Mytilus edulis: one gene and its partner. The protein of the gene in region 1 purifies or fractionates together with the protein of each later gene. This does not show direct contact. Links are inferred from orthologs where the notes say so. Each region holds a gene or a part of one and is shown in the gene's direction. Other genes may lie near its edges. The genes, in order: E3 ubiquitin-protein ligase RNF13-like and AP-3 complex subunit delta-1-like.

Region 1 (3,944 bases):
TATTTAGATCATTTAATATAGTTTCATAAATTGATACTTTTAACTTAAAATTATCAAATTACGAAATGCAGCATGAGTGTAGATGTAGGGGAAATAATGCACGTCTATTTTCAATTTTACATGATCCATCGTTTAAACATCTTATTATCGGGGACTTAACATAACTGACCAGTCAACATAATTTTTTCAAATCATTTATGCATATTTATATAATCTTTATTGAAAAACTGGTCATTATCGTGATATATGGATTGCCCACATGTGATTGATTAGCGATAATTACCGAGCCGCGATATATCACGATCATAATGACAATTTCTATTATGTTTATTTCATTGAGGAACCATGTTTTTAAAAATTCTCATAAATTCAAATTGTTCAAAGCAAACTCAAGTTATTGTACGATTTGCAAAGTGAAAGGAGAAAACACGAAAAGGTGAAATGGCCCGCGATCTGGACCAAACTTTTGGACCAAACCAGTGACGGACTCGTCTACTCTTAAAGGATGGTATTATACTTCACTTAATAATGATTTCACGGTCCAGCTTTTAGATATTACCTTTACCTACACACTCAGTCTCTAGGCATGCTGCTGTGTGCTATGTGACCAGCAAGTCCGACCAAGACAACATGCTGCAAAATCCTTATATTTTATGTTTAATCGCAGAAAATATTGTGTATAACAGGTTGTTTTTTTGTTATTTTTAATGTAATTTAAAAGGTTACTTTTATTCATTTGTAATGAATGTTAGAATAAGTTTTAAAGCAAAAGTGTCTCATAAGTCAGTCATGGCTGATACCGATATTTTAACTTCGATGTAAATTTTTATTTGTATTTTTATACTAATATTATGATGTATGATATTGTTCTGTATTGGTATGTGACACTATAATAAAATATTCTGTCTGTCTGTCTGTAAACACGAGCGATGATGATCAAGCAAATATAACTCTTACAAGAATAAATAAAATCTTCTGTACAGAAAAAAAGTACTACACAATCATATTTATGTTATTATTATGAACAAATACTTATCTTTTGTATTATATTTTATGTAATAAACTAAATAAAAAAAAATTAAAAGTGTGGACGATACGTCTCACAATGTGTGGCCGATATGTCCCATGGACGATATGACGGTATGGCCGACACATCCTAGGGCCGTCATGGAAGTATGGCCGTCGCGTCTCGAAAGCGTAAATAATGCCTGCAAACTATATTCAGGATATTCAGTGTAAGACTGGGATGACCTGCTTAAACTACTGGGCCGAATTAAACCAAACTTGGCGTCAATTGTTATTATCTTATACTATTTCATATGTTTTTAACCTTAGTTTACGTGATTTCCAAAACCACAGTTGATACATGATCACGTATGATATATAATTTGGCCGTGTGTTAGGTAGGTGCATCAAAAATGTAAATTTGGCTCTCATATCACTCGCCTATGAGCGACACAGACTCTTGGGAGCCTCTAGTTTAATATTGAATTACTTCCCCTGTTTCATATCACGTGATTGAATCCATTTCTAGATTTTTCAAGATGTAAACATTTGCTACTTTCTGGAATTTTGAATCAAAGACATCAAATGATATAAGAAAATATGTAAGATAAAATTGATAGATGTGATTCTCATGTATGTAACTGCACTTACTGGTTGTATGTTATGACATTTCTCTCTATTCCTTGCCTTGATTTGCCACAGTAACTGCGTAAGGAATGGCTGTTCGTGAATCACTTCACATGTTGATAACTTGAAACAACTCTGACTGAATATTAAACCTATCACTCAGACTTTCCTTTCACCCGAACTTGGTGATCATAATACTGTGGTGAATTGTGTTGGTTTTTTTGTGTGATTTTGTATATTGTAGTCTTAGTATATTGTATAATCAGTGAAGGGGGTCTCATTGGGGGGTTCCGATCCCTGATCCTGCTTACTGTTTTGTCAGATTCCCGTATCCCGCTTACACTGTGTACGTAAGCAATTCTCATTATTTTTGTCATTTCCCGGGTCTCGCTAGACCTCATTTCCCATTTTCACGACACAATAATTTAACTTTCACGTGTCGTGCTTATAAAAAATCAGCAATCCCGCGTCATGCTTAGACCCCAATGAGACCCACAGTGAAGTCCTTTGTTTTTAATTTATTTTAAAGGTAGGGGCATACTTTAATCTTGAGATGTACTTAATTAGTTACAGTTACATCGTCTATATTTATAATATGAAAAAGAAGATGAGGTATGAATGCCAATGAGACAACTGTCCACAAGAGACCAAAATGACACAGATATTAACAACTATAGGTCACCGTACGGCCTTCAACATGAGCAAAGCCCATACCGTATAGTCCGCTATTAAAGGCCCCAATAAGACAATGTAAAACAATTCAAACGAGAAAACTAACGGCCTTAAATATATAAAAAAATGAACGAAAAACAAATATGTAACACATATAAAAACGACAACCACTGAATTACAGGCTCCTGACAAATCGTGCATCTAATATAAGATTGTTTTATTATAACAAAACTGAAGACACCTGCATCATGTGCATTATCATGGGGATTTATGTTTGATTAATCAGGTGTGGCTCGCTTCATGTTCACACTATTATTCCATACACATCCCATCAGGATTTGTTTCAAGTGTTTTTTAATATGCAGAGAGCATGACATTCATCTTGTATACTGGAGGTTCATGTACTGGAGACCTGATGTCACATCATCATCATTTTGCTGCTAATTTAAAGCCCAGGTTTAAGAAAGGTTTTACTGTATCATACGTGCCAACTCCAACTTGCCAACTGTCACTATTTGAAGGGGATTTCCCCCATGAGAGCTCCCAAATGGAAATTTTGAAAGAGCAATTTTGTCTACAATTTTAAACAAAACAGTTAATTTTACAATGGCTATAGGCTCTTAAAAGTATGGAGAAGCAACAAAAAACAACATACAAATACATTTGAAGGCCCCCTTGGGTGTTTCTAATTACTATAAGAGCCATCTTGCACGCAAAACCCCCATGGGTATTTGGAAAAACATTAAGTTGGCAGGTACAAAAAATGTATTTTATATTGATACCAGATATTTCAAGTGATTACCATATCTATATACATGAACTTATCTAACTCAAATGTAGATTGATCTAGTTCTTAAACAATTAAAATTAAATTGTCCAACAGCTAGATCTTTGAAACTAAGACTTTTTCATTTCTCGATATGAATTAGCTTACATAAAGATATACAATGTCCGAAAATGTAAAATTCATTATTCATTTGTTTACAAAGATCTTCCTGCAATTTCAACATGTTCAACCTATAGCTATTTGTCTCGTCTGCACCGAAAGTAGTGGAAAGCAAGCCATAGCCATTGTATTTCCAGCAACAATTACGTTAGCGTCAACAATTGTTATTTTTTTTCTGCAAGTTAGTTTGATAGAAACTATTTGTAATAAATCATTGATATTTAATATAAATTTGCATTACTATCAGTACATACCAGCTTCATACCTGCCAACTTTTACTATTTGCAGGGAATTTCCCCATTAAAGCTCCCAAATGGAAATTTTGAAAGGGCAATTTTGTCCACAATTTTAATCAAAACAGTTAATTTTACGATGGCTATACATGTAGGCTTTAAAATTATGAAGAGGCCAAAATACAATATTGAGATACATCTCAAGGCCCTCTGGTAGGTTTTTTAGGACTGTACATGTACATGATGTATGAGCCATCTGACACTTAAAACCTCCATGGGCATTTTAAAAGTTAGTAGGTACACAGTTCGACAATTTTTGAAATTCCTGCCTCCTAATACAAGATTCATTGATTTGAATTATTAACATATATATACCATTATACAGCAATATTTAAGTTTTAAGTTTTCTGCTATTAAAAAGTTAAAGTTTATAATATGGAATAATGTTCATGATGTTTGTG
Region 2 (3,944 bases), on another chromosome or scaffold:
GGGTCAAGTTTTTTCTGTATGTGAAAAAGGGGGTTCAAATTTTTTATAAATCCAAAGTGTGTGGGGGGATCAATATTTTTTACACATGGAAATATTAAAGTATTATTACTATGACACATTCCCCATTTCCATTCTCAATTTCATTTCACATACTCAGTCAAGAGACAAAATATCAACGGAAGAACACCATAACAATCAAATCGAAATATATTTTTAACACCATTCATATACAATTAAGTAAGACATCACAATACTTTGGTGATGTAGGAAGCTGCATATGTGCTTCATAATCCCAATAATTCAGTCGTTATACATGTATTTCACTCACTCACTTTGATCACTAAATTAAAAAGCATTACTGCCAAATTTTGTTTTAATCAGCTTATAGTTTGAGATAAATTAAGTAGAAATTAAAACGAAATCTACAGTGATTTGTGCAAAATTTTGTCCAAAAATACAAATCACGCTATATCATGAAAAAATATAGTGTAAAGTAATAAATTCTGCAATAAATGATTAAATATTCATCTAATCTGCATACAATCAGTTGAATATTAATACAAAAGATGATTCTGAGATGATGAAAACAATAAATGCATCTTTTTGTTTTCAAAACAAGATCCCTTTGGGTCCATTTATACCTCTAACTCCCTCAACATTTGTATTTTTTAGGCTAGTAAATCAAAATTTTGAGGTTACTATCATACATAATATTCATATTGTTCAAGCTGAAAGCATGAACTATTCATATAACATTAAGTGACCCAATTGAGCTTTCAATATGGTCTTACATGTGTACATAAAATTTAAGATTAAGCAGTGTTCAAGAGAGGAACATATAACATTCAAAATAACCAACCCCAGCTCCCAGGTAAAAAAATGATAAGTCCCATACAGAATCTGAATACGGATAATTTACGAAATCGGCTTCTGGCAAGACATCATAGTTTCCAAACGAAAATAAAAGTCATCAACTAATTACTATTAATGAATTTAGACATTTATTAACTCCTGTACCTGGCTGGTGTTTTTGTAAGATCTGTTTTCATTGTACAGTGTTAGTTAAAATCGATACCAGATCATATCATAGTACTACCAGGAGGTTGAAACTACCTTTATATTTCAAGGAAACATTTCCGGATAATGACCGGTTTCAATCCAGTGGTTATAATAAATTTCCCACGTCAACATCTCACATGATTTAGATGAGCTCCATTTTGATCATCATCTCGGCAATATTTTGTGAAGCTGGATGACATTGGCTGGTAGTTGACTAACATCAGATAGCCAATGGCGTTAAAGAAAGTGAAAGGAACCCTTGAAAGGGTGTTAGACAAAAATTTGCAGGATTTGGTTCGAGGAATCCGCAATCATAAAGAAAATGAGGTGGGCCGGGAAATAAATCAATATCAATTTGATGCTTGAAATCAAAGTTTGTTTACACATAAGGGGCGTTTTTAACTGCATATAATACTGAACGTTAATAATGTCGATGTTTAGCTAAATAAAATTACCAAGATTTGTTTTCTGTTACTATCCCATAAGCTTTATCGGTGTTTATGGCTCAATATTTCACAACTAGGCACAGTTGATACCCAAGTACTGTTGTGTCTGTTACTGTTTAGTCTTCCTTGCTCAACTTCCAAAGAATATTCAGTAATTTATGTATAAAATTACCTTTCTGTAGAATCATTGTTTACTGTTCAATTGAACTGATACCAAAAGCACAGGAATGCACATACAAAAATGTGAGGGATATACATTTATGTCAATGAGATGTAGCAATCAAAGGATAATAATACAGAGAAAAAAACTCAGAAACAAAGTCTAAATGTAAAATCCATTCACCTGCTGGTATGAGGAAAGTGCTACTGAACAATATGCCAAAGGATAACAATAACAATGGAATTTGTATGCTTGCTTTATTTGTCATGCTTGTGACCTGCAAATCCATGTATGTGTTGTATATATATTATTATGTTATTTAAAGATTTCTCCCATTCCAACACAAGTTCTTGCAACAGGAAGTTTTTCATGGCCATACATGTACATGAATTAAACACACAAACCATCCTGCCATTTGAGCGCCTTTCAGGATAAAATTAAGCTATTATTTGACACCACAAGTGGCTTATTATCTCCCTTATTTCATGAATATAGTACAATGATATCATATGTAATTTTGGAATCAGTCAGTGTAAGATAAGCTTTCATCTGATGCAGTCTGAGACCAGAATTATTCATTTACAAGATGAAACTATTTTTTCCCCCAATTCTCTCATCAAAATTAAATTCCAGATACATGTAGTGGAATTTGGCCAGTATTTATTTCTACTGTTATAGTCTTTTTCATATATATATATATATATATGTAAATATATCTATATAAATTTTTGTACATTTTGTTGTATGTGCATGTGAGTGCTACATTTACGTTTCAATACAAGAAATTGTGGATTCATTAACTAATCTGGTAATTCATAGGTGAACCAAGAATGTTCTATACTGTTGGATCTAACTTTGACAAAAACACAAAAATCAAATATTTAAAAATATTCAATTGTTTCATAATCCATATACATGTAAAATAGCATCCACAATATTAGATAATTCAAAGAGCCCTAAAACATTGATTTTTTTGTTTTATAATTTCAGGCAAAGTACATAGCTGAGTGCATTGATGAAATTAAACAGGAATTGAAACAAGAAAATATTGCTGTCAAGGCAAATGCTGTCAGCAAGCTATCATATGTAAGATACATGGCACGGATGAACATATATGTAGTGGGACATTTTGTCATCATTAATCCACTTATCTGTAATCCTTATTCCTTTGGGCTAGCTTTCAGACTCCATCTATAACTTCACCCTACTGTCAAAGATTGCATAGATGCTTAATTGGTTTAGATGCTACCAACAGTTAAAGCGATCATGGCCACTGTTAACGTTCTCCCCAGGCCATTTTAGCGTCGCAGCACCGAAAACTACGCATTAACAGACTATTTGTTAGATAACTTTGTTAAAAATAGATATCATTTTGATAAAAAGAAACAACTGTGACTAATTCATTGAGTACCATGAACCAATATATTTCATAGACATGATAAAGAAATAGTTTTTGAATTTAAATTTATTGCTATTTGAAGGATACTTTCTCTTCCCTTTTTTTCTTTTGATAAGAACCAGTTTTTTCTTAGATATTTAGTGTAATTGTATCTATACAGGTTGCACTATAATAACCCAATCATTCATTTAGTTGGGTAGGTAGGGTAACTTGAACCGCACATATATTTTTATTTGGCTCAAGAGTTGAAAAATAATTGAGTAACTATAAATGAATATAGAAAACATAAACTGAAAATACTGTCATCATGGTTATAGTTTAATTGTATTCTCAGTAAAGATATCAACAATATAAACACACAGAATAGGATGGAATAGAATATTTTATTCACCAAATGAGAGCCTATAGCATACAAACAATATAATGCATTTTGTAATAAACAATAACATATATAACATAAAGGAAATAGAGAATCACCACGATGCAATAGATGACATTGAAAAAAATACAGTTTTTTTTTTTTTACGTCAAATGTTATGCTATCCAAAATTTCTGGGGAGAACACTGATGGCCAGAAAATACTTTTTTCGATTTGTCCTTTTTTCTTATTTATTGTAGGACAATATATATACACACTGTACAAGAGATTAATATTTGGATTTATAAATGAGAGAGTCACTGATTACATTTATTTGGAAAACAGTAATTTTAACTGTTGGTAACTTTATTACAGCCATTGTAATTGTTAGTAATAAAACCTTTCTCTCTGCCATGGCCATTTACATTTATGATCTTTTCATTATTTGGTTATAACGAAAGGTAACAATTCATTTTTCAACAGAGCAAAACTTTGTTTCAACAAAAATATTAAAATTGGTTT

Evidence for each region.
Region 2: the proteins of E3 ubiquitin-protein ligase RNF13-like (region 1) and AP-3 complex subunit delta-1-like purify together in Homo sapiens (affinity purification with mass spectrometry; 3 studies listed by BioGRID and IntAct, counting the BioPlex papers as one, with this or other methods). This does not show direct contact. The link is inferred for Mytilus edulis from reciprocal best matches to the Homo sapiens genes RNF13 and AP3D1.

The regions. Positions count from the first base shown.
Region 1 is NC_092346.1:84,994,437-84,998,380, forward strand, and holds the start of E3 ubiquitin-protein ligase RNF13-like, read left to right. Parts: upstream 1-1,493; 5' UTR 1,494-1,607; intron 1,608-3,944. UniProt on the Homo sapiens protein: E3 ubiquitin-protein ligase that regulates cell proliferation. Involved in apoptosis regulation. Mediates ER stress-induced activation of JNK signaling pathway and apoptosis by promoting ERN1 activation and splicing of XBP1 mRNA.
Region 2 is NC_092344.1:17,870,070-17,874,013, reverse strand, and holds the start of AP-3 complex subunit delta-1-like, read left to right. Parts: upstream 1-1,172; 5' UTR 1,173-1,290; coding exon 1,291-1,386; intron 1,387-2,655; coding exon 2,656-2,751; intron 2,752-3,944. UniProt on the Homo sapiens protein: Part of the AP-3 complex, an adaptor-related complex which is not clathrin-associated. The complex is associated with the Golgi region as well as more peripheral structures.